Linked DNA regions of Arabidopsis thaliana. The protein of the gene in region 3 interacts with the protein of the main gene of each other region in a pairwise test. Each region holds a gene or a part of one and is shown on either strand. Other genes may lie near its edges.

The links.
Region 1: the proteins of HUB1 (region 3) and HSFC1 interact in binary tests that used the Arabidopsis thaliana proteins (3 or more experiments, as listed by UniProt).
Region 2: the proteins of HUB1 (region 3) and GI interact in binary tests that used the Arabidopsis thaliana proteins (3 or more experiments, as listed by UniProt).
Region 4: the proteins of HUB1 (region 3) and KNAT1 interact in binary tests that used the Arabidopsis thaliana proteins (3 or more experiments, as listed by UniProt).

What each region holds. Positions count from the first base shown.
Region 1 is NC_003074.8:8,938,309-8,944,098, reverse strand, and holds HSFC1 (heat shock transcription factor C1), read right to left. Parts: upstream 3,034-5,790; 5' UTR 2,645-3,033; coding exon 2,417-2,644; intron 2,388-2,416; exon of another isoform or gene 2,333-2,387; coding exon 1,568-2,332; 3' UTR 1,225-1,567; downstream 1-1,224. Other genes in the region: AT3G24517 (uncharacterized protein), read left to right, coding at 5,458-5,547, 5,592-5,790; AT3G24514 (uncharacterized protein), read right to left, coding at 5,150-5,175. UniProt on the Arabidopsis thaliana protein: Transcriptional regulator that specifically binds DNA sequence 5'-AGAAnnTTCT-3' known as heat shock promoter elements (HSE).
Region 2 is NC_003070.9:8,058,638-8,068,113, forward strand, and holds GI (gigantea protein (GI)), read left to right. Parts: upstream 1-3,113; 5' UTR 3,114-3,344; intron 3,345-3,553; 5' UTR 3,554-3,760; coding exon 3,761-3,925; intron 3,926-4,005; coding exon 4,006-4,060; intron 4,061-4,138; coding exon 4,139-4,281; intron 4,282-4,365; coding exon 4,366-4,637; intron 4,638-4,783; coding exon 4,784-4,839; intron 4,840-5,008; coding exon 5,009-5,246; intron 5,247-5,372; coding exon 5,373-5,523; intron 5,524-5,649; coding exon 5,650-5,859; intron 5,860-5,959; coding exon 5,960-7,492; intron 7,493-7,604; coding exon 7,605-7,673; intron 7,674-7,974; coding exon 7,975-8,193; intron 8,194-8,285; coding exon 8,286-8,378; intron 8,379-8,492; coding exon 8,493-8,810; 3' UTR 8,811-9,153; downstream 9,154-9,476. Other genes in the region: PAB3 (poly(A) binding protein 3), read left to right, coding at 1-162; PFL (Ribosomal protein S13/S18 family), read left to right, coding at 9,353-9,355. UniProt on the Arabidopsis thaliana protein: Involved in regulation of circadian rhythm and photoperiodic flowering. May play a role in maintenance of circadian amplitude and period length. Is involved in phytochrome B signaling. Stabilizes ADO3 and the circadian photoreceptor ADO1/ZTL.
Region 3 is NC_003071.7:18,542,064-18,551,115, forward strand, and holds HUB1 (histone mono-ubiquitination 1), read right to left. Parts: upstream 6,590-9,052; 5' UTR 6,185-6,589; coding exon 6,068-6,184; intron 5,888-6,067; coding exon 5,726-5,887; intron 5,643-5,725; coding exon 5,564-5,642; intron 5,445-5,563; coding exon 5,217-5,444; intron 5,119-5,216; coding exon 4,957-5,118; intron 4,227-4,956; coding exon 4,033-4,226; intron 3,958-4,032; coding exon 3,874-3,957; intron 3,749-3,873; coding exon 3,629-3,748; intron 3,533-3,628; coding exon 3,346-3,532; intron 3,256-3,345; coding exon 3,095-3,255; intron 3,013-3,094; coding exon 2,941-3,012; intron 2,728-2,940; coding exon 2,651-2,727; intron 2,278-2,650; coding exon 2,083-2,277; intron 1,972-2,082; coding exon 1,899-1,971; intron 1,807-1,898; coding exon 1,720-1,806; intron 1,644-1,719; coding exon of another isoform or gene 1,608-1,643; exon of another isoform or gene 1,484-1,607; intron 1,482-1,483; coding exon 1,344-1,481; intron 1,259-1,343; coding exon 1,056-1,258; intron 962-1,055; coding exon 796-961; and 4 more. Other genes in the region: AT2G44970 (alpha/beta-Hydrolases superfamily protein), read right to left, coding at 6,936-7,409, 7,592-7,879, 7,960-8,057, 8,143-8,192, 8,304-8,432, 8,598-8,844, 9,019-9,052. UniProt on the Arabidopsis thaliana protein: E3 ubiquitin-protein ligase that monoubiquitinates H2B to form H2BK143ub1. H2BK143ub1 gives a specific tag for epigenetic transcriptional activation and is also prerequisite for H3K4me and maybe H3K79me.
Region 4 is NC_003075.7:5,145,710-5,152,895, forward strand, and holds KNAT1 (homeobox knotted-like protein), read right to left. Parts: upstream 5,451-7,186; 5' UTR 4,902-5,450; coding exon 4,434-4,901; intron 4,323-4,433; coding exon 4,197-4,322; intron 4,093-4,196; coding exon 3,954-4,092; intron 3,407-3,953; coding exon 3,150-3,406; intron 2,467-3,149; coding exon 2,260-2,466; 3' UTR 1,990-2,259; downstream 1-1,989. UniProt on the Arabidopsis thaliana protein: May play a role in meristem function, and may be involved in maintaining cells in an undifferentiated, meristematic state, and its expression disappears at the same time the shoot apex undergoes the transition from vegetative to reproductive development.

The DNA.
Region 1 (5,790 bases), on a different chromosome or scaffold from region 3:
CTTTGTCAACTTACAACTATTCTCTCTTTTCCTTTTTTAAGTATATATTTCCATTTATGTCGAGTCTTACGCAATTGATTTGGACAAGAAAAACTATTCTCTTATTACTAAATAAGGTTAGCTAATCCACAACCAATAGTATGTTTTGTTTCTTTGATAAACAATAGTATATGTTGTTAGCTAATTAATAGTATAAAATGAAAATATTTTAGGCCGACTTAGTTTTTAATGGATACTAGACCATTCAATATCCTATTAAGAAGAAAATTATTCAACTTTGTTCTCCTATTAAGTTGGAGAAATTTTTCGCTATTTTTTTTTTAAAGACATATAAAATATTATTCATAAATTAATATAAAAGATAATTCTTAACTACATCACAAATAAGTAAACAAGTCTTTTAACAAAAAAAAAAAAGTAATAAGTGAATACTTAATTTATAAAATTGAGTAAAAGATCATAAAACTTTATAAAGTTACGAATCTTTACAACTTTAATAATATTATTTAAGTATTTTAACAAAAGAAAACATAAGTATTATCGAAGTGTTAAAAAATCAATCATAAACAACAAAACAAAATTGTGATAGTAACTTTATATGATGTATGCGTATGAGCGTATCGTAGAGCCGACAATCAAAGTATGGACCCGAACATCTTACAAGAGATTTTGCGATTATCTGGTATAACCACGCGTCCTCGTGTGAGAGACATCAGGTGGTCCAATTTAGATTTATCGTTGTTTTATACTCTCTCTCTCTCTAGCCCAATGAGTGTTCGAAACGTTGTTGGCCGACCAAAGTCCCGTGGCTAACTGTCACGTCTCAAAATTTAACAATGTCATGTTATCAATTTTAGATGAAAGTGAAAGTGGAGCGTCGTGTTGATGATACGTTTGAATCTTGAATGGATGTCTCGTTGACTTGTTATCAGTCGACCGACTTGTGTCGCCTTAACCACGTGGGTTATATATAGGCAATGTTTCTTCTACTTTATGATCAGCTTTAAGCATGTGGGTTATATAAGCTAGTAAGTCTATATACCATGTCAACTGATTCGTTAATGTGTTTGAGAACAAGTGTTTCAAGAGAAAGAGTCAAATACTCGATATGGTTTAGTTTAAAGATGGCCATTAACGATAAATTTGAAATGGTATATAGACTTAATTACTAGCTTAAAGTGGAAAAAGTAAAGCCTATATTTTGTTGTTATTACAAAGATATAAGGCTACAATAATACTTTATTCAAAAATCAAAACACTGAAGTAGTGAAGAAGATCAAAATTGTTGTTATTACAAGTGTGAATATATTACACAAGTCACCTGAAAGTACTTTTAAAAGGAAAACAAAGTCAACATATGAACTTTTAACAAATATAATCAGAAATTATATACTGTCAAAACTTTCTACAAACGATGACTACTGACTCAACTATGGATCTGTCCTTATTTTCTTTCTTTCTTTTGGTTATACATAAAATAATTAAGAACAAACACACAAAAAATAAATAATAATAATAATATAACAATAATAAAGTCTAAAGATCATATATCATGTGAAGCTAAACGCTAAAAGCCACCTCGAAACAGAGAAAATGGATAAGGCGGTGTTGTTGGTGGATTTGACTCTACCACTCCTCCAAACGTCGCCGTTTCTTTATACCTTCTTTCTCCCTGAATACTCCCACATCCTCCTCCTCCTCCTCCGTTAACACTCTCCGGCAAAGAAAACGTCGACGTCAAAGATGATGACGTCGACGACGTTGAATTCGAGAGCATCGACTTCGCCACCAAACCCGTCTCGTAACTACCAAACTGTCCTTGCGTCATAGGAACAATCCACCCATCCGGTGAATGATTCCGGTAAAGATTCTCCGTTGATGACGGCGACGGTGTTGATGATGACATAACCCTAAAGACCCTCCCTTCATCTTCTTCCACTTCTTCTTCCTCTGACTTCACCGTCGACATCGTGACACGACGCTTCTTCTTGTCGGAAACTTGTTGTTGTTGCTTTGTCCGTTCTTTCTCGAGCATCATTCTTGGAAGAAGATCAGGATCTTCAACGACTTTGTAAAGAAACGCCATCATCTGCTCCGGTCTCTTCTCCGTCGCTTCGATCCTCCGGTTCATCCTCTGAATCTCTGCCTCTAGCTCCCTCTGCTCTTCTTTTAACCGTTCGATCTCCCTCACAATCTCACCGTCCTCCAAATCTTGACCGTACATCCCCCGCGCGTGTTTCCTACGCGCTATGTTATTCAACAAATGCTTCTGTCCCCTTAGAAAATGCTCGTTCGCAAACTCCCACCGGTCCGGATCCACTTTCCTAAACCCCTAAAGTAAATAAAGAAAGGATCATTAGTTCGTAATCCCCTGTTTCCAGTTTCATGTATGAGTTTCGGTTATGAATTAACTTACATAGGTGTTGAGTTGACGAACAAAACTGCTGAAATTGTTGTGTTTGAAATAAGCAGGTAAGATTCGTTGCGAGAAGTCGAGTGGATCAACGACTATGAAACTGTTGTGAGCAGGTCCCCAAGTGATGAGCCAATCGGTGGAAGGATCATTGACCATCTGATATGTTTTCACGATGAAAGGTGCGATCACGTTGTTGTTGTTGTTGTTGTTACTATTGTCGTCCTCCATCTCTCTCTTTCTCTGTTTTCCTTATGGTTTATATGTTTGTTGTTGGTGGTGGTAAAGAAATTAAAGAGGAGCCTGGAGGGTTTATATAAAGATAGGAAAATGAGATGTGAAAATAGTAAGTTAAGTGTAGTTGACAGTGAGACTATATTGACGTGGCTTGCTTTTTGTGATAACGTGGCGGGTTCGTGTTTTGCCTTTTACGGTGTCACGAGTGAACTGTGGGACCTATGCAGGTGTGCCTCTAAGCTTTCAGGTCTTTTTTGCCCTTTTTGTTTTGTTTATATTTTCTTATGTCACAAGTTATGTGATACATTTGAAATATATGCATATTTAGGCATTGTTTTTTCTTAATTATAATTTTAAGTCATAGATGATTTAAGCTGCTTGACTAATTCTAAGGGTAAGCTAGTCCCAATATAGAAAGCTTAGTCCATCGATTTTTCAACTGGTTTCCGATCCCGAATTAGAAGGATATCTATGATTCATTTGTAATTTCTGCACAAACAAAATTATTTGTCATGATTTCTTTCTAATTCTTGACATGATTTGTTTCTTTCACTTTTTCACAAAAGAACCTCGTCCTCTTCAAAATACTCCAAAACTCTCAAGAGTGAGAGCAACTTATAAAAAAAAAACACATTTGGTGAAACAAACAAATCTTCTACAATGAATAGAGAGGGTATAATTTAATTTATTATATTATAATTTTTCTTTAGTTTACAATTATGTTAAAAAACGTTAGAAGGAACATGCTGTGTATTCAGATTTTAACTTAAAATATCCGACTAATTTAAAATAAAAAATTGCAAACAATAACACTAAATGCCAAGTAAACATGATTTTATAGACAAACTCTTCAATCTGCAAAAGCACTCCTATTTTCTTATACATACATATCCATGGACTCTGGAATAAATAGCCACACAAGTGTTGCTACTTGCAAGAGTTATTATAGGAGTATTATTAAACAATGATTAACATAAACTACTACAAATATAATTGCTAGGTTAAGAATTAAAACCAATAAGTTCCAATAAAAAATCACACGCATCAAAGGCATTACTATTTTATAGTTTAAACCACCACCGAGAAATCCAATAGCAATCTTATATAAAATTTTCCTAATTATTAATTGGATAGATTAATGGGATTAATCTAGACTTAATTAAGGGGACGTGGGTCAAATGCTAACCACATATTACGTATGATATAATAATATAAATAGTTTGAATAAAACAACATTTATAGAATCAAAGCATGGTCCTTAATCCTTGAGAGCCTTGGAGATAATGACCTCCTCGTATAGGCGAGAGTACAGTTCTCCACTTTTCATTTTTTTAATTGTTGTCTCCTCTCTTTGTTTTTCTTAAACTATAATTTACCTTTTCAATCGAATCTTAATTACAACTTTATTTGAACAATATATATATTACTCTCATCGCCAAATGGGATTAGCTATAATCCACAAGCTATAGCTTTTGTTTGTTTAATTACGTACTATCAGTAGTACAATTTCAAAACCTAAGGACAATTTTGATTTTTATGGGATACTTGAAATTATTAGTCAAGATTGATAGGTTTAATTACTTACTACGACAAAATTTTCCAAACTAATATATGTTTTTATTAAAATTAGCGCTTTGTCAACCTACAATTAAATTTATCTATTTCGATTATTATCAGTTACATAAATTGAGAGGACGATAAAAAAGTATTTTGAGACATCTCTTCCCCACCTTATAATTTTTGTTGTCCATAGCGAAATAAAGGAGAACAAGAGATAGTGTAACAGTGAGACGGTGACGTGGTATGCTTTGTAATAACGTGGCAAATTCGTGTTTGCTTTTTACATGCAGGTGCCACAAAGCCTTAGGTCAATTAGCTTTTCTTAGATGGCAAGTTATTAGTCCGAGCCGTTGTGTATTTGTGTGAGATGTTTTCAAGAGACGACGAGCGTGTGGGTGCTTGGATACTGACATGGTCCGCACTGGTTAGTGACGGAGGAACTCAGGAACAAGTACTGATTCGACACGTTGCGTAGAATCTTTTTTGTTGGCGATGCACACTCCACTAATCGAGTATTTTTGTATTTATGGAAAGTTTATTCATTATACGTTGCTTAATTCAGGTATACGACGAACATGATTTTTCATTTTTATTATAGTGTCACACAAATATTATAGGAAACTGATGTCGTACGGATAAAATAGTTTAGTAGACGATTATACGTCACTTCATACGTAACAGGGACAAAAGCGCACCCTATAGAGAAGCAAGATTTATTAGTTTATAGATTTGTCTCCAAATTGGTTATTCGTTAATTGTTGAGAATAAGATACAATTATTTAAGTTTCATATCTCTAAACATTTATTTTGCTCATAATTAAATCTAAAATGCTGATAAGGTATTTAAGAATTTTTTTGATATTAATATGTGGGGAGAACTTGTTTTTTTTTTTGAAGATCCGTCTACTAGATATACAAATTTATTATATAAAGAAATAGTTAGAATATGAAAACATCTGTGTAAACTATTAAAAAAATAGAAATTTAACGACGAGTCTAACAGAGAAGATGATAAATGTAGACTGATATATTTAAACAATATCATTGTCGATATAATCTTTTTTTTTTTTTTTTGCAAAGATTTGTTTTCATTTATTCAAATCAAAACAAATATAAGAAGGAGTGATTCAAAGATCACAAAGTTTAAAACATAATTAAAAGAGGCATTCCCCAAAACCAAGATATGATAGATAATGTGAAACGACATAAAATTCATGAGAGCTTTGAGCCACAAACTATAAGGCATGATGGCACATGTGAGGTCACGGGTAGTCGAAGGATCTTCCACGAACGAATCAATGGACAACAAATTGGTCACTGTCAAGAGACGAGATGACGTTGAATAAGGTTCCAAGGCCGATGTTCTCGCCGACACGAGAAGGAGAAACTGGAGTTGTTCATCGCCGAGGAGGTGGGTAACGATGGGTGTAAGGTCAAGAAGGTTGAAGAAGCTTCGGTAATCATCACTCCATGGAGACGAGATCATAATGCCGTTCTTTCCCAAGCTTTGAAGATCATGAATACTAAACTTAATAATGTTGAATCGCTTTTGCTTGAATTCAGTAATCAGAGGATAGGAG
Region 2 (9,476 bases), on a different chromosome or scaffold from region 3:
GCTAAAGTCACAGGAATGTTGTTGGAGATGGATCAAGCTGAGATCTTGCACCTGATGGAGTCACCAGAGGCACTCAAGTCTAAAGTATCCGAGGCTTTGGATGTTCTCAGGCTATCTGTTGATCCAACTGATCATGATCTTGGTTTCTCTACCACCGACTGAAATTTGCAATGCGTTTGCTCAACTCTGTTTTCTTCTTTTAGTTTTGATATCGACTCCTTTTCTTTTCTTTTTTGGGTTTTAGTCTTCCTTTACTATTTTAGCAGTTTTTTTTTGTTTACTTAGTTTATGGTTTTTGTGTCTTTAACTTAGTTTATGGTGTTTTTCTTTTTCTTTGGACAATGATGATTTCTTAATAATCTGAGTAGACTTCTTCTTCCGAATCCCCAAATAATCCATCTCTACTTGAAATTTAAGTTGTTCGGTATTCATGGTCAGCAACAAGGGACAATCCTTCTATTATGGTAGCAGCCTTCTATTATGAATTTATTCGAATGTGTCTACTCATAATTTGTGGTTTGTATTTCAACTTGTAGTTGATATCAATTATATGCACACAGACTTTTTCTTTTTGAGGGGTTGGAAGCAAGCGATTCAATGATTGTACCACTCATTTCATAATAGTGTTTGATATGACGTTAATTTGAATGGTTTATGTTGATCGAAAATACTCTCAGTCACAACAAGAATCTAATTCGATTAATTTATTTGAAAAACATATGTTGGCATGGTACATGAACCAGCTCGTTCATATGAAAATATTTTAAAAAGTCAACATCAGTGCTAATTTCAAATTGACCATACATTAGCACACAAGAAGACTAACAAAAAAAATGAGTGAATAAAGAAGAGAGTGAGTGGGGTTGATACATGTCACCGTCCAAAATGTGTCTGACCCTTCTCATTGGAGCTACAAGAGCCGACCCTTTGCCTCATCATTTGTTGACTTCACTCTCCTTTTACATATTTAAATTATAACTTGCTCATATTTCCATTCATTGTGTTCGGTTCTAGATTGTTCCATCCACTTTCTTTTTTCTCTTACTTTGAAATTTAGAAATATATGAATACTTGACAAATATTTGAATATTGTAACTGATTTGTTTGTTCGTAATACTTGACAAACTTTTTTGAATATACACCTTTACATATATTTTGAGTTGAGATAAAAAGGGAATTATGTTAGTTTATGGATTATATTATGTAAATACCACATCTAACTATGATCGGATGAAAACTAAACCAGCATATCTCTAATCAGTAATATTTACTAAATTTATATATCATTAAAGATTTTTTGAATTTAGCAAAAAAAGAAGAAGATATCATTAAAGATTTTTAAATTTAAAGTATAACATAATGAATAAATCAAGTGTTGAGCTTAGTTTCGCGTTGCAAAGATGTTCATTTGATTTTTTTTTTTTTTTTTCCATTTGATTTTTCTTATACTAAATTGATTGATGTCACGGTCCTTCTGTGAAAAAAGTATATTGTACTGTATAAATTTATAATAGTCATACTTGAAGATAACTAATATCATTTTCTAAAGGTTTTGTTGACAATGAAATGGGTAATGATGAACATCTCGTTTGCTAAACCACAAAAGAAATAATTCGTTGGACTATAACTTAAACTTATAATATATCAACTGAAATGCCTACAATTTGAGAATACGCCTTTTCAAAAAGTTTTAGAATTTTATAAAAATTTCTCCACCATAATATTACTTTAATAAAAGCTTGTTATTAAAATGATATATTAACAAAAAAAAAAGAGGTAGGCAAAGTAGCTTTTATTAAAATTAATGTTTTCCCTAATTGGTAAATCATAAACCAAAAAATTGAGGTAATTCTTAATATATTTACTATGATTAGAATGATACATTAATGTAACATTTTATCATCTTCATTAATAATAGTAAGTTCTCCTCAAAATTACAATTTGATATCAAAAAATATATTTGTATTACAAGCAATTACTGAAAAATTAAAATTACAATTTAGCCCAGTTACATAACTCCACGTAAGGTTTGAGCCCATCACATCACATGGTACATGACCAAAGCCCAGTTATGTTACCATGGAGTATTCTTCAGACAAGAGCCATCCAGACAGAAGTGGACCACACAATCACGAATCGTATGGAGATCATTACAATATATTGCTCACATCTTATTGCGCCACGTCTCTTATTTGGCGAGTGATCAACGTCCACAGATCTCTTGCTCCACTCTGATTGGTACACGTCATCATTTTATTGTGCTACTTGTTTATGTGGTACAGTAGAGACAAGTGGTAAGATTTTAAAATATCTTAAAAGATGTGTGAGGCCCATTTAGATATTTTCTCAACGGGCTGTTCCTCAAAAGCTGCCCGTTTATCTACAACCATCGAACGGCTCGAAACTATTCTGGGCTAGCTGCCCGAAATCTCTTAAAGGAATTTGTTGAGTGGGCTTGAATCAACGGTGGATAATTCGAAGGTGTACGTAACATCTCGTAGCATCTGAACTTAGCTCCCCTCAAAATATCTGTGGACATATGTCACTAGCTTTTTTTTTGTGTAATGAAACTATTAATTAATTAGGCAATCACATGAGAGATGTTATATACTTAAATTAATAACTCAATAATACAATCATGACCACCAAACCTTGAAATAAAATAATCTCTCTGATTACTTGTACAAATTCTTTACCAATATATGCCATACTGTGAATGTAATGGTTTATTTTAAAACAGCCAAATATTATTGATATAATTATATGTTTAAGTAGATTTTAAACTTAGCTCATGGTTAAAAATAGACAGAATTTTGGAGTAAATCTGAGTTTACAAAATTTATTTATTAGGATTAAAATTAATTACTTAAATTGGCAAACATTTTTCTTGGTGATTGTAACATACAATATACGAATTTGAATTCGCATTGTGATTCCAAAACAACACTAACATAAACTACCAGTAAAATTTTTTAAAATAAAATTTCATATATATATGCTTAAAAAATGTAACAAAAATATGGTAAATTTTTTAACCATGGTATGGGTGGAGATGTATGTGGGATGATGATGGTTATATGGTAATGGCGCATAAAGGTGGTGGCAAAGGCAAGGAAATATCGATGACACGTAAGCAGACGGGAAATCTTAAACCGAGTGGAGAAGCCTCCAAATCTCTTTTTTCTCTCTCTCTCTCCTAAGGCCACCACAATCTCTTCTTCTGTGTATGTATTCTTTTTTTCTCCGATATTCGTCGATCTCTCAAAAATATCCTCAAAGCCAAAAAAAAGCAAGAGTAGAGATAACCAACCAACAAACTCATAGGAAGACATATTTACTTTCAGGTCTTTCTTCTACTACCTTTTTCGTGGTTTTTGGTTGATTGATTCTCAGATGAGATTTTTTCCCGAATCATTTGATGTCTTTTTTTTTTAAATAAGTTCTTGGTAAATCACTGTTTCTACTAGCATTTTTTGTTTTCTCAGCTTAGATTTGTTGTTTGATTTGACATCTTATCTGATTGAGATTTTGTTCTTCTGAATTGTTGTTACAGGGTTTAGCTGTTTGATTCAGCTTCGATTTAGTGTACAGTGTGTTGATTAGTATAAAAAGGATTTAAAAGAATCTGGGAGATGTGTATAGTGATTGTTCTTGCTGGCGAATGTTAACACTACGTCGTATTGATTCTCGATTGATAGTAGAAGAAAGGTGTTAGTTAGATTGTTCGTTCATCTAGTTGGGGTTTAGTTTCGGTTCCTGGATGGCTAGTTCATCTTCATCTGAGAGATGGATCGATGGTCTTCAGTTCTCTTCCTTGTTATGGCCTCCGCCACGAGATCCTCAACAACATAAGGATCAAGTCGTTGCTTATGTTGAATATTTTGGTCAATTTACATCAGAGCAATTCCCAGATGACATTGCTGAGGTACTTGATACCTAATGAGTTTAATAAGAGTATTCTCTTAGTAGTGACGTTTTGATTCATGTATAATTTATCTGTATCAGTTGGTCCGGCATCAGTATCCATCAACTGAGAAGCGACTTTTAGACGATGTGCTGGGTATGATCAACATTTATGATCCACACTTCTCTTTTTGTGTGTGAATGTCTATCTGATTTTCGTTTTCTGATGAAACAGCGATGTTTGTCCTTCATCATCCGGAGCATGGTCATGCAGTCATTCTTCCAATCATTTCATGTCTTATTGATGGCTCGTTGGTGTACAGCAAGGAAGCTCATCCGTTTGCCTCTTTCATATCTTTAGTTTGCCCAAGTAGTGAGGTATATAATAGCTGTCTAGTATCATGCTTACTGATTTGGTGTAACCTATACCATTTTGTGCTAACATGTTCACTATCCTAACAGAATGACTATTCGGAGCAATGGGCTTTGGCATGTGGAGAAATCCTTCGCATTTTGACTCATTACAACCGTCCCATTTATAAAACTGAGCAGCAAAATGGAGATACAGAGAGAAATTGTCTGAGCAAAGCTACAACTAGTGGTTCTCCGACTTCAGAGCCTAAGGCTGGATCACCAACACAGCATGAAAGGAAACCTTTAAGGCCTTTGTCTCCATGGATCAGTGATATACTACTTGCTGCTCCTCTTGGTATAAGAAGTGACTATTTCCGATGGTAAGTAGACTCTGTTACTGATGCTTCTATGTGTTCATGCGCCGGCCTCCTTCTTTTATTTTGGTCTCTCTGCTGAGGTCTATGTATTGAGGTTCTGTAGTGGATTAAGCTTACTGACAACTAAAAATGTTGCTTATTATTTACAGGTGTAGTGGTGTAATGGGTAAATATGCTGCTGGAGAGCTCAAGCCGCCAACCATTGGTGAGTTCAAGAATTCCATGTTAATATCCCCTGGAACTGGATTTTGATGATAATTCTGATCAATAGAGTTGTTCTATCACTTCGTTCATAAATGTGTATCCATCACCTGTGGCTATAGAATGTGTTTTGAGTTGCTTCCTATAACTTTCATGTTGTCCTACTTTGGCAGCTTCTCGAGGATCTGGTAAACATCCTCAACTGATGCCTTCAACCCCAAGATGGGCTGTTGCTAATGGAGCTGGTGTCATACTGAGTGTTTGTGATGATGAAGTTGCTCGATATGAGACTGCTACGCTGACAGCGGTCGCTGTCCCTGCACTTCTTCTTCCTCCGCCAACGACATCCTTAGATGAGCATCTAGTTGCTGGCCTTCCAGCTCTTGAACCATATGCACGTTTGTTTCATAGGTATTGTTTCTGGGCTTACCCTTTCAATTAGGGTTTATTGGTAGTAGTCTGTTGCTAGTTTTAAGGTTGTGCTTCCTCGAATCCCTAGATCAGAATTGTTTTCTCACTTTCCTGTTATACTGTCAGATACTATGCCATTGCAACTCCAAGTGCTACGCAGAGACTTCTTCTTGGACTCTTAGAAGCACCACCGTCGTGGGCTCCAGATGCACTTGATGCTGCTGTACAGCTTGTGGAACTCCTTCGAGCTGCTGAAGATTATGCATCTGGTGTAAGGGTAAGCGTAATATGAATCTCTTAATTACCCTCCAGAAAGCTAATTGTGTCCCTTGTTATAAAAAAAGTCAGCTTTGGTATGTCATCAAAGAAATCAGCTTTGATCACATTCTTTTTCTTGGTGCAGCTACCCAGGAACTGGATGCATTTGCACTTCTTGCGGGCTATAGGAATTGCTATGTCTATGAGGGCAGGTGTTGCTGCTGATGCTGCAGCCGCTTTGCTTTTCCGCATACTCTCACAGCCGGCACTGCTTTTTCCTCCGCTAAGTCAAGTTGAGGGAGTAGAAATTCAGCACGCGCCTATTGGTGGCTACAGTTCAAATTACAGAAAACAGGCATGGTTCCTCTTTATATTTTTCTGCTATTCCATCTCTGATATGCGATTGGCATTCTACTAGAAAATTATATTGAAACTGACTCATTTCATCTCAACAGATAGAAGTTCCTGCAGCAGAAGCAACCATTGAAGCCACTGCCCAAGGAATTGCCTCAATGCTTTGTGCTCATGGTCCTGAAGTTGAGTGGAGAATTTGCACTATATGGGAAGCTGCTTATGGTTTGATCCCTTTAAATTCTTCGGCGGTTGATCTTCCCGAAATCATAGTTGCTACCCCACTGCAACCTCCTATCTTGTCATGGAATTTATACATTCCACTCCTCAAAGTACTTGAATATCTTCCACGGGGGAGTCCTTCGGAAGCATGCTTGATGAAAATATTTGTTGCCACTGTGGAAACAATACTCAGTAGAACTTTTCCGCCTGAATCTTCCAGGGAACTAACCAGAAAAGCTAGATCGAGTTTTACCACAAGATCAGCGACCAAAAATCTTGCTATGTCTGAGCTTCGTGCTATGGTCCATGCTCTCTTTTTAGAATCATGCGCTGGTGTGGAATTAGCTTCACGCCTACTTTTTGTTGTGTTGACTGTATGTGTTAGCCATGAAGCACAGTCTAGTGGTAGCAAGAGACCGAGAAGTGAATATGCTAGTACTACTGAAAATATTGAGGCGAATCAACCTGTATCTAACAATCAAACTGCTAACCGTAAAAGTAGGAATGTCAAGGGACAGGGACCTGTGGCAGCATTTGATTCATACGTTCTTGCTGCTGTTTGTGCTCTTGCCTGTGAGGTTCAGCTGTATCCTATGATCTCTGGTGGGGGGAACTTTTCCAATTCTGCCGTGGCTGGAACTATTACAAAGCCTGTAAAGATAAATGGGTCATCTAAAGAGTATGGAGCTGGGATTGACTCGGCAATTAGTCATACGCGCCGAATTTTGGCAATCCTAGAGGCACTCTTTTCATTAAAACCATCTTCTGTGGGGACTCCATGGAGTTACAGTTCTAGTGAGATAGTTGCTGCGGCCATGGTTGCAGCTCATATTTCCGAACTGTTCAGACGTTCAAAGGCCTTGACGCATGCATTGTCTGGGTTGATGAGATGTAAGTGGGATAAGGAAATTCATAAAAGAGCATCATCATTATATAACCTCATAGATGTTCACAGCAAAGTTGTTGCCTCCATTGTTGACAAAGCTGAACCCTTGGAAGCCTACCTTAAGAATACACCGGTTCAGAAGGATTCTGTGACCTGTTTAAACTGGAAACAAGAGAACACATGTGCAAGCACCACATGCTTTGATACAGCGGTGACATCCGCCTCAAGGACTGAAATGAATCCAAGAGGAAACCATAAGTATGCTAGACATTCAGATGAAGGCTCAGGGAGACCCTCAGAGAAGGGTATCAAAGATTTCCTCTTGGATGCTTCTGATCTTGCGAATTTCCTCACAGCTGATAGACTCGCAGGGTTCTATTGTGGTACACAAAAGCTTTTGAGGTCAGTGCTTGCAGAGAAACCGGAGCTGTCTTTCTCCGTTGTTTCACTGTTATGGCACAAACTGATTGCTGCTCCTGAAATCCAGCCCACCGCAGAAAGCACCTCTGCGCAACAAGGATGGAGACAGGTAAACCTCAGCACTTCTATTTCCCAGCTCGCTTACAGTTTCCTTGGTAGTTCTTTACTAATCCAATTAAGTCGCTCGACTTCATACACTGATCATATTTTTTATATATCAGGTTGTTGATGCGCTATGCAATGTCGTATCTGCAACGCCAGCGAAAGCAGCAGCAGCAGTTGTCCTTCAGGTCCAAATTACTCTTTGACTTTTTATTTCATTTGTCAGGAATGCAACACCTGTGTAAAGATTAAACTGCGGAAAACCTATGGCCTGTGTTAATGTTTTATAATGCTTGGTTCACTCATTTGATCTCTCATGAATTTATAAAAATTAAGCTTGGAATTTATATGCAACACTTGTTTTAATATGCCAAGGATAGGAAATAAGGAAGAAAAAATCTGTGTAAAATAATGGCTTGTTTCAAGCTCATATGTTGAAGGATTTACTCTAATGCTCTATTGTCTGAAATGGTCTTGTGTTATTTACAGGCTGAAAGGGAGTTGCAGCCTTGGATCGCCAAAGATGATGAAGAAGGCCAAAAAATGTGGAAAATCAACCAACGGATAGTCAAAGTGTTGGTGGAACTCATGCGCAATCATGACAGGCCTGAGTCACTGGTGATTCTCGCAAGTGCATCAGATCTTCTTCTGCGGGCAACTGATGGAATGCTTGTTGATGGAGAAGCTTGTACATTACCTCAACTTGAGGTACTGCACTGTTATAGATTGCTCTTCAATGCCCTTCTTCGGGCTAGAGTAATAATCATTTTCTGATTCCACTGTATTTTAAACTTTTGCAGCTACTTGAAGCCACGGCAAGAGCAATACAGCCGGTGCTAGCTTGGGGGCCATCTGGACTAGCAGTGGTCGACGGTTTATCCAATCTATTGAAGGTAAAAGCAGAATCGAACAGAGCCTATGGTTTCCTGCGTCGATTGTAGATGATCAGTAGTAGGTCCAGTTACCAAAGTGCTTAACCTTGTTCACATCTTTTTGCTTCTATGCAGTGTCGTCTACCAGCAACAATACGGTGCCTTTCACACCCAAGTGCACACGTACGTGCCTTAAGCACGTCAGTACTACGTGATATCATGAACCAAAGCTCCATACCCATCAAAGTAACTCCAAAACTGCCAACAACAGAGAAGAACGGAATGAATAGTCCGTCCTATCGATTCTTCAACGCCGCCTCAATAGACTGGAAAGCCGATATCCAAAACTGTTTAAACTGGGAAGCTCACAGCTTGCTCTCCACAACTATGCCTACTCAGTTTCTCGACACTGCGGCTCGGGAACTCGGCTGTACTATATCCTTGTCCCAATAACGAGCACCCACTTTTGTTTTTGGTAAATTTTAGTTCTCTAGACAAAACATTTGGACGTAGACCAAGAAGAATATATATATAGTTTGTTGTATGTAATGTTGTAATGATGAGTGACTGACGCAATCACTCCCACCGGCGTTGGATTTGCTCTCGCTCGGTGTCTTATATAACTCAACCTCTTCTCTGTACATTTTAAATGACGAAGTAGCTCAATCTTTTTTTTTGTGCGTCTGGTGTTTAGTCTTCAGTGGATTCTAAATCGTAATGTATAGAAGTGAAAAATTTACAAATTTACTTATTTCCGAATACTCTTAAAACAGCAAAAATTAATATTGCAAAAGATAATTTATAGTATTTTAATCTTTTTCCTCCAAAAAAAACATTAAAGGGTAAATTAGTAATTAACTACAGGAGCTTCATATTAGGTTGGAAAACCCTAAATATGCCGCTTATAACAGACCTGAGCTTAAGCTGTGGTGGCGCCTCCAGAGTCTGGTAAAAGAGCTTAATCCTCCTCTCGCGATCTTTCTCGGCATCCAAAAATGGTACGATTATCGTTCTTCAACTCTTGTCTGGTTCTCCAATTGCTCGTGCTTCATTTTGCGTATCGCTCGTTTTTCATTGCTGGTTTTGGGATTGGAGTTTTAAGCTCAAATGTTTTTTGTA
Region 3 (9,052 bases):
TATTTAAGGTCATTGGAGATCCACCAAAAATACTTGTAATTCCTACCTAGGATTGTGAAAGACCATCTCGAATCATGATCCCAAGGATCGAAGTCTTTGGAGATGCCAACAAACAAATTGGATTGCAATTCATCGCAAATGGTACAAATATCCAAAATCTTGCCTCGTGTTTTCTAAATTGAGAATCTTAGAACACTACATCACAAACGTTTGGATCATACACAAATGTAGAACAAAAAAGAAGATTTAATTGAAAAATCAATTGCGGAAACCATGTTCCAAATTACAAACAAAAAGGAAGTATCACCAAAGACATAAACCCTAACAGTGTTACCTATTCTCTATCACATTATCAAAATCCCAAAATGGTTCCTCAAAAACTCTGATTTGCCATATCCAATTATTCTTCATGACCTTTCCCAATAAAAGAGAGTAATAATTACAGAGAGATCTAATGTTTATCCTATATGAGAAAAAGTACCTGTGTGTGTTTCACAGTTTCATCATACATCATCATGCTCAGAGTGTTTTGGTGCGGTCATATGTAGATAGGTTTAATATCATTTGGTCCAAAACTTGCTGAGCATGTTGGACACTTCTTTTGTCGAGTTCCTGTGAGCTTTTGCACACATGGGTTGCAGAACAAATGGTAGCACTTCGTAATCACCACCTAGTTTGTTAAGCCAAAGACCAAAACCAATCAGCAATCACGCACGCAGTTGACTAAAAGATTCAAGGGATCATGATTTGAGCGTCTTGCTGAGATCTAAATAATGGAGAGCAGTGACTCTTTACCTCTTTTGGGCGATCGTTGCAGGCCTTACACTTCAGAATTTCTTTAAATTCACTGAGTTCTTGTCGGAGCTTTTGAATGGCCGATGATCCTTCTATGAGAGACCGAAGACGAGAAACTTTCTTTTTGGCTATTTCCATTTCCTCCTCTATCCTTCTCCTATTGAACCTGATATACGCAGAAAAGAACGATACCTTCATCACTAACACTTGTTTATGACTATTAATTAGGATAGAGAAGATGGAGGGAGCAATTGATTTACCTTTCAATCTCCAGTTCCAGTTCTAATGCCCCATAATCCAGCCGACTTTGCTCAACTTTAGAATGGGACTCCTCCAGCCTTGACCTAGCTTGTTCCAAGCCATTCCCGATGTCTGCACGTTTCTTTTGCAGATTTTCAAGAGAAACAGACTTTTGATATTTATCTTCCGCTAGTTTCTGAAACTGATCTGTGCAGAACCTCAACTGCAAGGAAAAAGAAAAACACCTTAGTCAAAGTCTCACAATAAGGAGGCTTACAATTTGAGCATACGGGCACACACAGATATACCTGATCTTCAATTCTTGATGATTTCTTGGATAGGAAACTGGCATATGCACTGCCTTGCTGTATATCCTTATCCATGATGTATTTATCGATAAGCAGAGTATCTTGCATCTGCCTAGAAGTTATGCCTTCCAAGAAAAGCTGAAACAACAATGGGCGAGCAAAAAATTACATCTCATTGTCTGATCCAAGTAACAAACCATCCTTTTTTTCATGATATTCTAGCAAAACATACAAGGTATAACCACAGAAATTGGTCCATGCCCATTAAAACGATCCATCAATCTCTGAATAAATGTAACACTACTAGATATAAGAGTAAGTGAGAAGTCACAGAGATAGATCAGATAGAGGAACTAGAAGAGTTTGGACACGATACCTTGATGTTATAGTCATCCCTCTCTGTAACTTGAAGCAAAAGCTGTTGGTTTTGCGGTACAATGTCCTCATAGGCACTTCCAATTGTCTAAAAGAATATAGTTACTGTAAATCGATACGCAACATCAAGGTTTTTAAAATATGTTAAGAACAAAGAAACACGAAATTTCATAAGCCAACCTGTATTTCAGAAAGATATGTTCCATGTTCTTCATGTTTAGATTTCAAGATATCAGAATGCTTGGCGACATCCCTGAAACAGAAAAGACTTATCCTTGTCAAACAAAAAACTCTCAAAGAATTCCTATGGAAGAACTGCGTGATTGCATCTATAAATTGCAGACTTCTACTTATACTTATTTACCTTTTACAATCATCCATTTTCTGCCTTAAATCAGCAATCTCTGCTTCCGCAGCAGCCAACATTTGTTGGGAAACGGCTTCAGCTTCATTTGCTGCCTTAACGCGCAACTCCAGATTTTGCTCATCAAGGGATGATTTCAAACTCTGAACATGAGCCCAAGCCCTGTACTCCTGTTCCTTGGCTTCAGCTATGTCCCTGCCATAGCACATTATCGACAGTGATGCTTAAGGCAATATACCAACCGCATTATAATAATGTGTTCAGTCAAGATAAGAAGATAAACAAATCCTAACACATCCAAAAGAGTTTTTATCAGATGGAACTGTAAAAATAGATCAGATATTAAAAGCTGTCATGGATAAATTGAAAATGTGAACATAAGTTTCTTCAGAAACGCAAGAAAAATTAACAACAAACTTTCAGCAAGATTCGATAGTTCAGTCAGAAGGCAAGATTAATAACAGCACTTGTTGTTATACTATATATTTGGACAGTGAGAAGGGGAAGATAAGGAAACTTTTCTCTAAGAATTGAAATCTTAGATATCGTTATATATAGTTGTGCTTACCTCGCATCAGTGGACTCACGTTTATACATGTCCAGAAACAACTTTAACTCCTCATGACTGTTCTTCAAATCACAAACCTGCATGACAGACTCCAATCAATTGAAAGTAAAGAACATAACAACTACCACTTTGCCAACCAAAGACATTTAACAAGATTTAAATTGCTAATCCGCCTTTTCACTATACTTTTTCCAAGAAATAATGCAAAGTAACAATAACCAATATGAACACTGTCAACATATATAAGTCATGGGCAGTACACTGAAAAAGGTAGATACATTGCATCATACCGTAGCATTCAGGTCACCTAACTGAGAAGCATAATCAGCTGATCTCAATTGCAATGCTTCATACTCTTTTGTCTGTTCACCAATTAAGCTTATTAAGTAAGCATAACATAAACTGTAACAATAAGCATCAATCACTGTTCACATTATTTCCCACCTTCCTACATAGAACCCCAGAGAGGGACTGGACATCAGCCCGCAGAGAATGAATACCTCCAGCAGTCTCTTTATAATTGTTTAATTGACTACGCATGGAACTCATTTCCTCGGGGAACGAAGAAATTAATGCCTTCATATCTGCAAAGATTTCTTTTCTACCTGACATACGAATAACTTAATCAGACTCCAAAGTGAAACAGGTGTGGGTGGGAGATACAGAATTGGAAGTCAAAGTAATCAATTTGTGACCTCGCTCTCTTGATATATTTCCCAGCCTAGTCTTGATTCGCATTTTTTCATCCAGTTGTTTCTGTATCTCCGAATCCAAAGAAGCCATTCTAGAATCAGTAACAGCAGACGTCTTTCGAGAAACATCACCTAGTTCATTTTTTATATTTATCTCCCTTTCCTTCCAGACTATACTATCTTTTTCAACCTGAAATTTTCGAATGGAGGAAAGCTTCACAACTAAATATACAACGTAAATTTTATAAACATAGATACAAAATGAAAATCGCAAACCAGATATAACCTGCAGTTTCTCAAGTAAAGCCATATACTGGAAAACTGCTTCTTTGGATTTTTCTAGCTGGTCTTTCAAAGAAAGGCAGGCTTGAGAAGATGAGATGCACCTCACAGACTTTGACTTGTTCTGTTAGAAAACTCTTACATCAGTTTTAGCAATAGGAAGAGGCTACCATTCCACAAATTTTCATATATCAAACCCCATACAGAGACAAACTAATACAAATACCCCAATTGGATCAATACACTGACCTGTAAATTACTCATTTTTCCAAGCATCTTTGTCCTCTCCTCATGAAGATTTTTTAGCTGTTGTAGCCTGCCTGAAGCCAGGACCTACCGAAACCAGGCCGTTATCAACCCAAAACTTAAAGAATTACCAATGAAAACAAATCAGAAAAACAAAGATACCGTTAACTCTTTCAGAACTGTTTCCATGTCTTGCAGATCCCTTTGTTTATCCCTCTCCCGATCACTGGTAGCAAGCTTATTTCCAAGACTCAACACTGGGAAAAACGCCCCAGCTGTTGCATCCCTTTCTGCTCTCAATGCTGACAAGTCACCATTACACTGCTGAAGCTCCACAACCTCATCCTCTAGCTCCCCTTCGAATAGACCAAATAAAGTATAATATCAGTTGATGCGGTAGTCAAGAAGCATTAATCCAAAAGCAGGCATGTAAACTAAAATAAATTTTAACTCTTTGAATTTCTTAACTGTGGCTACTGTCAGTATTGAAATCTTACATCTTAAGGTAAACGGGTAATTTATCAACAAAATTAAGATGCTTCACTTATGTGGATGTATGTCATTCTCAAAGAATTACCAGCTTCTCTATCTCCTAAAATCTACCGAAATATATAAATATGGGTAAATGGTATAAAAGAAAACTAAGAAGTTCATGTCTCAGAAGGGTTTTGTACACCCATCAGTTCGCTAATGAGTATATCTTCCACAGCTACATGTCTTCTTAACAGCTGGCTCTACCATAGAGGTTTTCTTCCAGTCTTAATGTATCTCTCTCTTCAATCTTAATCTCTATGATCTAAATCCAATCATGGCTATTAAACAACTGAGTAGTGCTGGACATAAATACACAGGCGTGGAATTGGAAGATTCACAATTTGATCACCTCTACTTACACTTATCCTCATCAATCAAAAGCGAGATATGATTTCAGTAGCTTTTCATGTATATAGGACCTTTTTTTGTCAAGCCACGTATATGATTACAAATTTACATTTGATGCATGAATACTATATCCATATAAACAATGCCAATTAAAAAATCCATTTTAACAGTATATAGTCGAGTGAGACGAGACTAAGTAGCTACCTCTTATTCGTTTGAGGTCTACTCTAACTTTAGCATCAGCATCGCGATGACTCTGCAATTCTCTAGAAAGTGATTTGAACTTCACAAGTACATCATCTAGATCCCCTCTGAAACTTTTAATTTCTGATTCCAACTCACTCAGAGCTAGCTGACCGCACAAATCTAGAAAAGAAAGCAATTCCACATAGGACCTGGGTTAATACTAAAATGTTATAAAGGCCATAACAAGAGCTGACAATTGATCGCAGTGGAAGTCATACCTTTACCAAGATTGGTTCTGAGAACTGTGGGATATAATTCATCCTTCAGACACCTCAAATCCTCTGTCGCGGCTACTAGATTATACAAGGTTTGCGTCATCTGGCTTGACGTATTCACTCCATTTTCTTCCATCTGATTCGAGCAGATATTGGATGAGGAGCTCTCAGTAGCACCAGTTTCAAGTAGCCGGTTGATGAAATCGTTTTTCACGGCTGGAGAAGACCCATCTGTGTAGCAATTTAAAGTTAACCTTTCAAAAAGTCATATTTGTAACATATAAAACCAAATCTAAACTAGATCCTAGCACTAACAGAACGAAGAAAAGGCGGGCTTAAGTTGTTCATACCCTCCTTGTTTACAAACCTATGAGCTCCGCTGCTTGAATCACTCACACGAACAGAGCATGATTCCACTGAAGCTGTAAGCTGCTATACAAGCATTAATTAGTTCTCTAGAAAAAGAGATCTAATCCAAGTTCTATTAGAATCGAAAGCAAATTCAGTGTTACCTTTTCCCAAGACTTATGGACAGTCTTCAAACTGGAGTTGTATGGTAATTGTTTTTCCTTGATCTGAGAGAGTTTATCCTCAAGAATAGAACACTCAACCTGCTGAGCCTCTAGCTTTTGTGATAGCTTAAGATTTTGGAACTGAAGAACTGCAGTATCAAGCTGTATCAAACGAAAACAAACTCCTTAAGAGAGAGAATCCCAATTCCAAAATAGACCAAATTCGAGACAAAAGACATTCAGTATATGAATCTCTAATAGCTGGAAAGCTATGATTGATTGGATAAGTAAGAGAATAGATGTAAAGGGCATGCACAAGGGGGAGATGAAGAAGAAAGAAACCTTGTCCTCGGAGGAGGGCCAAAAGAAAGGCTGTTTCTTTACGGCGGCTGCAGCTTCAGAAGGTGATATGGAGCTAAAGTGACGCCTTTTACGGTCAGGCTCGCCTGTGCTCGCCATTGAAAAACCCTAGAATCGCCAATTAACAGGATTAAGCCTTGTCTCACATCACCATCAGATTGAGTTTGAGGAAGCTCGAATACAAATCCCCCAAACCCAATGAGAAAACCCTAAACGATCCAAAGCTACGTGATTGCTTTAACCGAGGTAATTCCAATTGCTCCGCAGCTCTCCTTCGGAATAAAAAAAAACAAACAAAAAGAAACCCTAATCTCACAGGTCTTCCAAATTCGATCAGACTCTAATGCTATCAAACGCAAACAGACTTTGTCTGATCTTTGTGCGACTTAGATATTACAAACCGAGAACACACACAGCACTCACAGAAACAAAAACAAGAGTGAAAAGAAAGAGAGAGAGAAGAGAGAGTTGAAGTTAATTCGAGTACGATGGCGTAATTTTGTGAACATCTGGAGGGCACTTTCGGGAATTACATATTCCACTTACAGTATATAAGCATCGGCCGTCCATAGAATCTCCAACGATCCGAGCCGCACGATCACGGTTCGTTAAAGGAATAGAGAGAAAAACATAACTAATCTTCTAATAAAAATTAATCAACAATAAAAGAAAAAAAAAGAAGCAAATTAAGTAGTCTTATAAATATAAAATCTACCGTTTGTAATAATTTTTTTGTTATCGTGTGATTCAAACCTGATAGTAAATTAGTAAGAAATAAAACAAAAAGATAGAAACAAATACAGTAATTTGAAGTCTCAAGACGAAAGTAGAAATAAAACAATTTGGTTTATCAATCGATTTTTGTTGCGAGTTTTTGTTGCCTCTCTTGCTCAACTTGGACAAGCAAAGTTAAGAGCGCTTCACAAACTTGAGCAGCATCAGCTTCTAAAGGAACCTCGTTCAAGGAAGAGTACACCATCCAGGCATGGTCTAGTTTACGTTTGGGTCTAACAACCACAGAACCAGGAACCTCTGCGTCACAGCAAGTCACTAGCCCGTCACTCTTTTCACCGTATCTGACTTGAAGTAGCTGAGCGCAAGCAGCCATTGCAGCACCAAGTGGCATTACCACTGGCAGTTTTGCGGCTTGGTTTGTCAGAGGAAGTTCAGCGTGTGCTACGTGTGATAAAGTGGATAGAACCGCTGGGCTAATGCTAGCTTCTGTGCGGAATGAAACCGTGGGGAGTTCTCGGGGAAGCGGATGATTCTTCAAGAATTCTTTTCTTCTCTCGTATGTTAAATCTTCCAATGCTTGAATGTCACCCTTCACAATGTTCCAAGGAATTCATCAGAAAGATCAGCAGAGCAATAGAATCCAGAAACAAAATAAGTTTTGGTTTATCCCTAGTTTCTCGGTTCCACCTAACTAAGGATTTTAACAGGCAATCACAAGAAGCTGATATAATGCAACTGAAATGACTTTGTTAGATCAGGAATGTTGCAAACCTTTATGACTTTGGAGATTAGAATCTCCATCATCTTTCTCAAATTGACGTAATCACCTAGTTGTCCTTCACGGAGGATATCTGTAGCTATTGGGCTTCCACCATATGGACTCTGCGCCAGTACCAACCCAGCGACCTTATCCTTTAGTTCAGGCCAGTATAGTGATAAAGCAGCAGCTGCATCTATGCCTCCTTTGCTATGCCCAAGAAGTAGAACCCGCTTATTAGATCCCCAACAGAGTTCCTCTATGTATTCCTTTATCTCTCTCGCATTTTTCTCAACCGAGGACTGATATATAAACATTTCTCCATATATTAGTATGCTATACACCAAATGTAACTGTACTAAGTTGAGTTAGTTATGATTACCTCGCTGTGAATCTTCGCAATATGACACGCCAAACCCATCTTTGAGAATTTCGTTTTCGTATCCACAAAATATAGAGGTCCATGATTGCTGAAAAGACCTAAAAAAAATTCAACTAATTTTGAGAGTCCTAATATACAGTAATGTAGTTTAAGTGGCTGGCAGCAAAGAATAAGAATTGCTACCTGGAACCAATAAGTACACCACTGTATTTGGAAGCCTGTGTACACCATGCCTGGATATAAAAACCAGATCAACGCAGCCATTTAGTAAAAAACAGGATGTTAAACAGCATATTGAAAAGGCCACAAAGCACACAAAACATGCAACTACAACCAATTCATACCCGATGTCTTCCAGAATTTTATTGAACCTATCAGTTCCATCTTCAACAGGAGGCATCTCCGGGGCACGCTGTAACCATCCTATGTCATCTGCCGAGCCACGAACAGTCCTCCGTGCCCGCTCAATGAGCCTGATTGAATTAAAATAGATCAATCACCCAAATGCTGAAAACTTGACAAGAAGTAGTAGTGTATAGAGATTATTGTATTGCTTCAGTTTCACATATTCATAGTATTAAGATTTTACATATCTACTAGTATGGGGAATTTGTATCTGTAATACAAAGTACACGTACCCTTGGAACATTGAAATTCCATTTAAATTTAACCGATTCGAAGTCACTATTGCATTTGTTGCCTGTGGCAGAATCTCTGTAGATTCCCTCGACGGGCTGTTGGCATCAGATGTAGATGCCTCTGAAGAAGTTGAAAACCTTTCACCAGGCGAAATGCATACACTCACTGGGGAATTCCCGTCAACTCCGGAAGTTGATCGTAACAACTCATGGGGGTGGGAAATAGTATCCTTGCCACCATATTCTACTGAAGAAAGCATTGAAAGAACAGATGCTAAGCAAAGCCTGAATTATGTTACGGTGACGATAAGATCCTAACACCATAAATATCTGCTAAGCATATTTTCCATAAGTAAAGCCTAGCATATGAACGTGGAATTGCATACTGAGTACGACATCAACAGATAGAAAGAAAGGGTACCTGAATAGTCAGAAAAACAGCTCCCTAAGTAAGA
Region 4 (7,186 bases), on a different chromosome or scaffold from region 3:
GTATCCTACAACATGGGGCAAATATGGCATTATTATAGATTATACATAGAATATTATAGTCTTATAGTTAGAATAGCTAGTTAGTTAATATAAGTTTTTTTTTTGTTATACACTCAAATTTCCCAAAATACAAATAGTTGAAAACTAAACTAAGTGTCACTAAATCATCTCACCAACAACTCTACACTAAAATTGTTTTTTCTCACCTTTCACATGCAATTTTCTTAATTTATATATATATATATATATATGATGTTATATTCTTAAAAAAAAATTTCAACTCAACTTTCATTAATTAGATTAAATGTAATCAGAGTGAAGTAGAGATGAAATACATCTTGGAACATAATAAAAGAACATAAAATCTTGACCAATTCGTGATTGATGCTATATTTTTAATTAAGTTTTCAAAAATGACTAGTTTTGCAAAAAACTCTTTAAAAACATTAGTAAAAAAAAAAGGATGATGATGCAAGAATTGGAGCTAATCCATCCTTTGATCACTTGATGAGCAAGAGTTCCAAACTTGCCACGCGGAAGGTGGGATGATGAAGGTGGTGATCTAACACGCTGGCGATCGCTTCTCTCGTGTGGGATCGATTCAAGGGGAATTGATGGGTAGTTGGGTGATTGACTCGCTCAATCAGTTGGGTAATCGACTCACTCGATCAATGAACGAATGAAGGATGTTGAATCACTCAACAAACTTAATCCGCAGATTCCTGACGTACTTCATGACTCACTCACAAAGAACTAAAGAACAAATGACAAAGACTCAACTTTGACAAGAAAACGTTTCTGTTACTTTAAAATGATCAAGGGTTGCTTTACAATGAATGAGAAATCAGCTTATATAGAGCTGAATACAATGTTCTAAGGCATTAATGAAAGAAACAAAACATAAATGAAAATATTGGACATTAATTGTAGAATATGTCCAAATAAGGCAAGTGAGATGTGCCTTGTATCTTGTCAACTTGGGGAGGAAGTTGTGACGTCTTGGAAGGTTCTGGAGGGTCTCAAGATTCTCACATAAGCGCACAAACAAAGAAGGAAAGAGTTGTTGGTAATCGATCTCCTTCGGCTCCATATATGGCAAGTAGTAGCTCAGCGGGTTCTTGTGTGGTAAGATGTACCAAAGTTCGTGTGGTATAAGTCTTGTGTGGTCTAGATGTTCTCCTGGTTTCCATATGTAGCTTTGAGGTGCGTCCAAGTGTAGAATAAGGAAGATTTCCTTGTTTGGCTTCATTTCGTGCGGTACTTCAGAAGGTAGTTTCAGCAAGTAGTTCAGCCGGTCTGTTAGCAAGTACATCAAATATATGTACTTTTGATATCTTCGAATCATTTGCTTGGTAAATGATTCCTTGATGACTTGATGTTGCCTCGTTAAAAACCTTTCTAGGTAAACCCATTGGGACAAACCCTAGATAAGGGAAAAAGAGTGCAACGGTCATATCCCCACAATATGGTGACTCGGCTCGCTGGTCTTTGACCCTTCTTGAATCATCATTAGTCTTCTTAGAATTAATTTGCTGGTGAATAATTAACCCTAGGCCTTGTGCTTGATTGAGACTCCAATTGGGCAAGAGTCCTCCAAAATGCTCTTCATCAATCGGTTTGATAAATGTACCGGCTGATTTGGTATGGTCCCGGTTTGGTTTAATTTGGATGTCCGCATCAGATGACGAGTGGGTGCAAAGGGAGAATCTTTAACTTAATCTTTCGACAATAGTTTTTTTTTTTCTGGTAGTGATTCCATGACCTATGTATTATGATGTAATGCTTTCGCATAAGTCATAATATATGCCTGAAACCGTGTTCGAAGCAAAGATGGTTTTGAGACTTATCAACTATCGATGTTTTACATTTTGTGGATTTTGTTTTAGCTTGTGGAAAGGCATGTAAGAATCCATTAGATCAATTTGGGTTTTGTCTTTCAAAACCATACATTTCATGCCATATAAAATAAAAAAATGGAGCAACACCTTTTCAGAATAGCATTTTCCTTTCACACATTATTAAATAAAAACATTAGTGAGAAAACAAAAAAACAAAATACACCGAAAAAAAGAGAAAATAAAATGAAGGGATATTTCTGACTAGGAAGTCTCAAACTCCCCGAACGACATAAGACATTACAAAAGGCGTGAAAACAAAGAAAGCTATAAGTAGCAAACTGATGTAGGGGAATTCAAAACATGAGTTGTAACAAGAAAGCAACGAGAGGTTGTTATTATGTGGCTAAAGCTTTTGGATGTCTTATGGACCGAGACGATAAGGTCCATCACCCATGTAATGACCATCCATGTACAGAGCTGCGTGGTGCGGGTGCTGCAGACCATCCATCACCATGAACTGCATGTCTTCAGATGGTTTCCAGTGACGCTTTCTTTGGTTTATGAACCAATTGTTGATTTGTTTCTGATCTAACCCCGTTGATTCCGCCAACGCTACCTTCTCTGACTCCTGCCACACAACTCAAACCAACCATCTTCATTTATGTAGTAATCAATGTATAAAAAGCAATGCTAGAGATAATCGAAAATTATTTTTAAATGATTCTAGACATAAAAATGGAAAATGACCTAAAGTTTGTTGTTTTGAACGATTCTCTAAGTAAAATGACTAACTTCATTTTTCTTTGACATCAAGTAACGACTAACTATATGTTGTCTTATTATCTTTTTAACAACATGTCATTTATATTTACCAATATTAAACATGTTTTTTTCACTATCATTACAGTCGGTTAGATTAGTTATTTCATTTCAAACTAATTAAAACTACAAAAAAAATTAAATTGTTTCAAAATATATGGATAAAAATTTCATCACAAACTTACATTTTTTAAAAAAAAGTGATTGATATACGTGTTAGAAAATAGTATGTTAAGGGTTAGAACACCATGACTAAGATATGTATCCTAGTGACTAATTCTAGTGTTGTGAGCATTCGGATTTAAAACCATGTTGTTGGAAACCGTACAAGGATTTAAACACAAAATCGGTCATGCAAGTACCTACTTGGCCTAACATAGCGGCTTCAGAGGGAATTGCTAGCTTAAAGATAGGTTTTTAAAACACTTAATTTGTAGTATATATTTTAAAAAATATGAGGGCAAAGAGAGATGAGAGAAAATTTATACGTACAGAAGGATATGGCCACTTGTAATGCAACTCCCACCACGTGAGAAGCTTCTGCCGTGCTTCTTTAGGAAGTTTACCTTTCTTTTTCTTCTTGGATAGTTCTTGCTTCAAACTGCTTAAGTATCCACTATACTTCTTCAGCAAATGGTTCTTGAGTTCCCGATCTTCGGCCCTCGGGTCTATTTCCGGTAATTCTGTTTCCCCTCCGCTGTTATTCTCTTGTTCTTCGTCTGATGATCCCATATTGTCACTCTTCCCATCTGCTTCAACATAATATATTTCATGAAGTTAAATGGTTTAGTCATTTAACAACATTCTAGTCATCTACCTTTATGATTAGACTAATTAATCCGAGTAGAGATTTTGATGTTTTAGCATAACGAAATCGAAGAAGATAATGTCCCAAATAAATCTTCACGAGCAGCACCAAAAGTTCTTGTGATAGTACTTTTGGGCCGAGTGAAAAGAAAAAAAACAAAAATAAGCCCCACCCATCTTTGGATGGATTCCACAATGGGGAAAACAAGAACAAATATGCACACCTATTTGTATCTTACATACTTTCCAACAATAATGCATCTCAATTATCTTAATTATCTTATAATCTTAATTAACATTTGAAAATGTATGTAGACTATGATTTTTTTTTTTTTTAATATCTCAATGTTACAACAATTTACCATGAACCAAAGAAACATGCCAATTTATGCAATCCATCATTAGCCCTACCTTGCCACTACACTTTGTTTTCTCCAGCCATTTCTTACATGTGCATATATGTATGTATATGAGATTGATGACATGTACCAGGATTGTTGAGGATGTGAATGGGACTCTGACACAACATGCTAAGCTGAGATTCAATACGACGTATAAACTCCATTGCTTCCTGAATGGGCCTTGTTAGCTCCTCACGATATTTAACCAACATGTCACAGTATGCTTCCTATTCATACCAAAAAATAAAAAAGGAAAATCAAGACTTCTAACACATATACACACAAAGAACCGACCCATTTAATTAAAATTCAACTTTGGTTAGTAATGAACCATGAATTGATCTAACTCCGGGTCTCTAGAGGAGGCAGAGACAGACGGTGTTGACCGCTGTTGTCGAGCCTCAAAGTCTTGCCGTGCCGCCGTAATTCTATCAACCACATCAGGTGGAGCTCCAATCTATATAAACCATGACCCATGAACATACATATATATGTCACACATAACTATATATTATATCTTTAAAAAAAGAGTATATATTATAACATAACAATAAGAATAAAACCAAACCTTTTGGCAGTCCAAGTAAGCTTGTAGGAGGGTAGAGTAGTGAGGATGAGCAATGATTTTAGCCTTCATGGCTTCAACATCGCTTACGTTGTCATTGTTGTTGTTGTTAGCTTCTTGAGTATTGTGGATGGCTCTCATTAACATGGAGTAATGATTGATTCTTGAGGAGCTAGCTTCAGATTTAACAGATGGGTTGTTGTTGTTGTTGGGTTGATCATGATCAGATCGGAAGCAATTCTCGGTTGTTTGAGGGAGAAGAGAGCTCATATGTGGAAACAACATGTGTTGGTGGTGATGATTGTTGTTGTTAGTATTATTGTAACCAGGACCATAATTGCTACTATTATTATTGTTGTTGTTGTTGTTGGTATCACTTGTGTTATCGTTTTTGTTGGAAGAAGAGATTGGAGAGTACAAGAAACTTACTCTTTGAGGAGTGGTGCTGTTGTCATGCTGGTATTCTTCCATACCCAGATGAGTAAAGATTTGAGAGAGAGAGAGAATATAAAAATCAAAGAAAAAAAATAAATTAAAAAAAAATAAAACCCTAGAAAAATAAAAAAGGATGGGTGTAAGATGAAGAGGATGTATGTATTCTTGCTTTTGTTCTTATTTCAATCAAAGGTCTCTGTAAGACTATAACCACATCAAATCCAGACGACTAGACGACTCATCTATGAAATCAAAAAGGCCTAACTCAAATTAATATAAAAAAAGAGAGAAAATTTTGTGAGGTGAAGTTGCACCCAAAGAAAAACCAAATAAATTGAAAAAGATATATTTGAGGAAGAAAAAACGAACTAGGTATATAGAATTCGTCAAGGAAGTGACATGGAAGAGAAGAAAATAAAAAAAAAAAAAAGAGAAAGAGAGAAGAAGAGAGAAAGAGAGAGAGAGAGAGATTAACAATAATGAAGAAGTTGGGTGGCTTGAGTGGATTGACAAGACGTCGTTTGCTTTGGGAGCAAAAAGAAATATTTGAAAATTAAAATAAAGGTAAGAGAGAAGGGACAAGAGATAAGGCAAAGGCTTCTCTCTTCTGTTTTCCTCTCATAGGCTATTTTATACATTAGAACAAGACTAAGTAATTTACTTAATTAAAATGTGGTTTATAATATTCGAATTAAGATGAACCACTCAGTGTTTAAGCAACTAGGTCTTCGCGGCTACTTCAGGCTATGGTTTCTTGCTAGGTTGAATGATATATTTTGTACTATTTTCTAGTAATGAAATGTTTTTTTTTCTTAAAAGAATAGTCAAGAAAAAAGTTTTAAAAAAAATATGTATGATTTATATATACTTCTAATACGATATAAACCCAAGAATTTGTAGTCTAGTGGTTGAACATAGAGTTCGTTCAACAAATTGTGATCATGTGTCACATTATAATTCTATACTTAGGAGAGGGGACTACGTTTATCTTGTTCTGGTCCTCGGTTTCACTGTACGGGTTTCTGCCTAAAACTTACGGATAACAAAAAAAGAATTATAAACAATATGATAGAAATGTACATATTTGATGCAAGACTTGGATGTTTTTGGAGTTTAATCAAATCGATGAAATTATAATTTTAGTTTTCGTAATTTCGTATGTATATTAGTGGAGAGATCACACTATCCGAATATTTGTTATCGGATAGAAGATTACATTAGAAACCGAGAAAAAAAAAAGGAATTATAAAAATGCTTTACAGGATAGTGGATATTATACGATATTCTGCTAATTTCCAACTATTGGCTCTATGATAAGACCATGCTGCAAACACACTTCTTTCAACACTTGTTCTGTTCCACGGTCAACATTCAATTTTCTATTTAATCTCGATTTATATTTCATGATTCATGAGACGTATAGAGTGCCTATGAATTCATTTTTATACAAAAAGAAACGAAAATCCTAGGGTTTTATTTATATATAAATCGTCAAATCCTAGGGCTCTAGATCAAAAAGTTGGCTCATCGATAGATTTTTTTTTTTGTTTACCTCATCACTGCACTAGACCGAAACTTACATTGTGACTTGTGAGAGTTTGTAAACAACAAAATGTAAGATTTCTTACAAATTATGACTTGCTATGCCGGAAATTTTGATAGTAAATATTTAAATATATATGTATACATATATTATTTCTTACTATTAAAAAAATAAAATCAGCTGCTTAGAACCAATATTATTAGAATTTCATTAAAAAAAATCGAAAATGTTAAAGGTTAAATTTTTGCATTCGAAATGTTTTCTTTTCCTTTAAGACCTCCTCTTATTTTCTGTTTCAGTATAAGATGCTGAAACATTGACATCATAAAAGATCATTCATTAAGGGTACATCTTTGAATTAAATATCATAATATTCCAAAACACAAGTGCAATAGACTAAAAACACACTATAAATAAGTCTCTGATCCCAATATTCTCATTAATATGGTCATGCAAGAAGAATATATATATATATATATATATATATATATATAAATAAAAATATTATAATACCCATAACCATATGGATCTAATTTCTTATAATTTTCTATTAAAAAAAAAATTGTTTTCAAAAGTGTGTACAATTTCATAGAATTCTATCTTTTAGATTAGAAAGTCAATTATAACAATAAAATAAAACATTCAATTTATTATATAAAAATTCACCGGTAGGCATAGATTGTTCTCTAAATTTATTAATAAACTCATTTACTCATAACTATGTAACGACTTGTATGAGGTTATCTAAACCTGCAATAAAACACTCAAGAGATACACT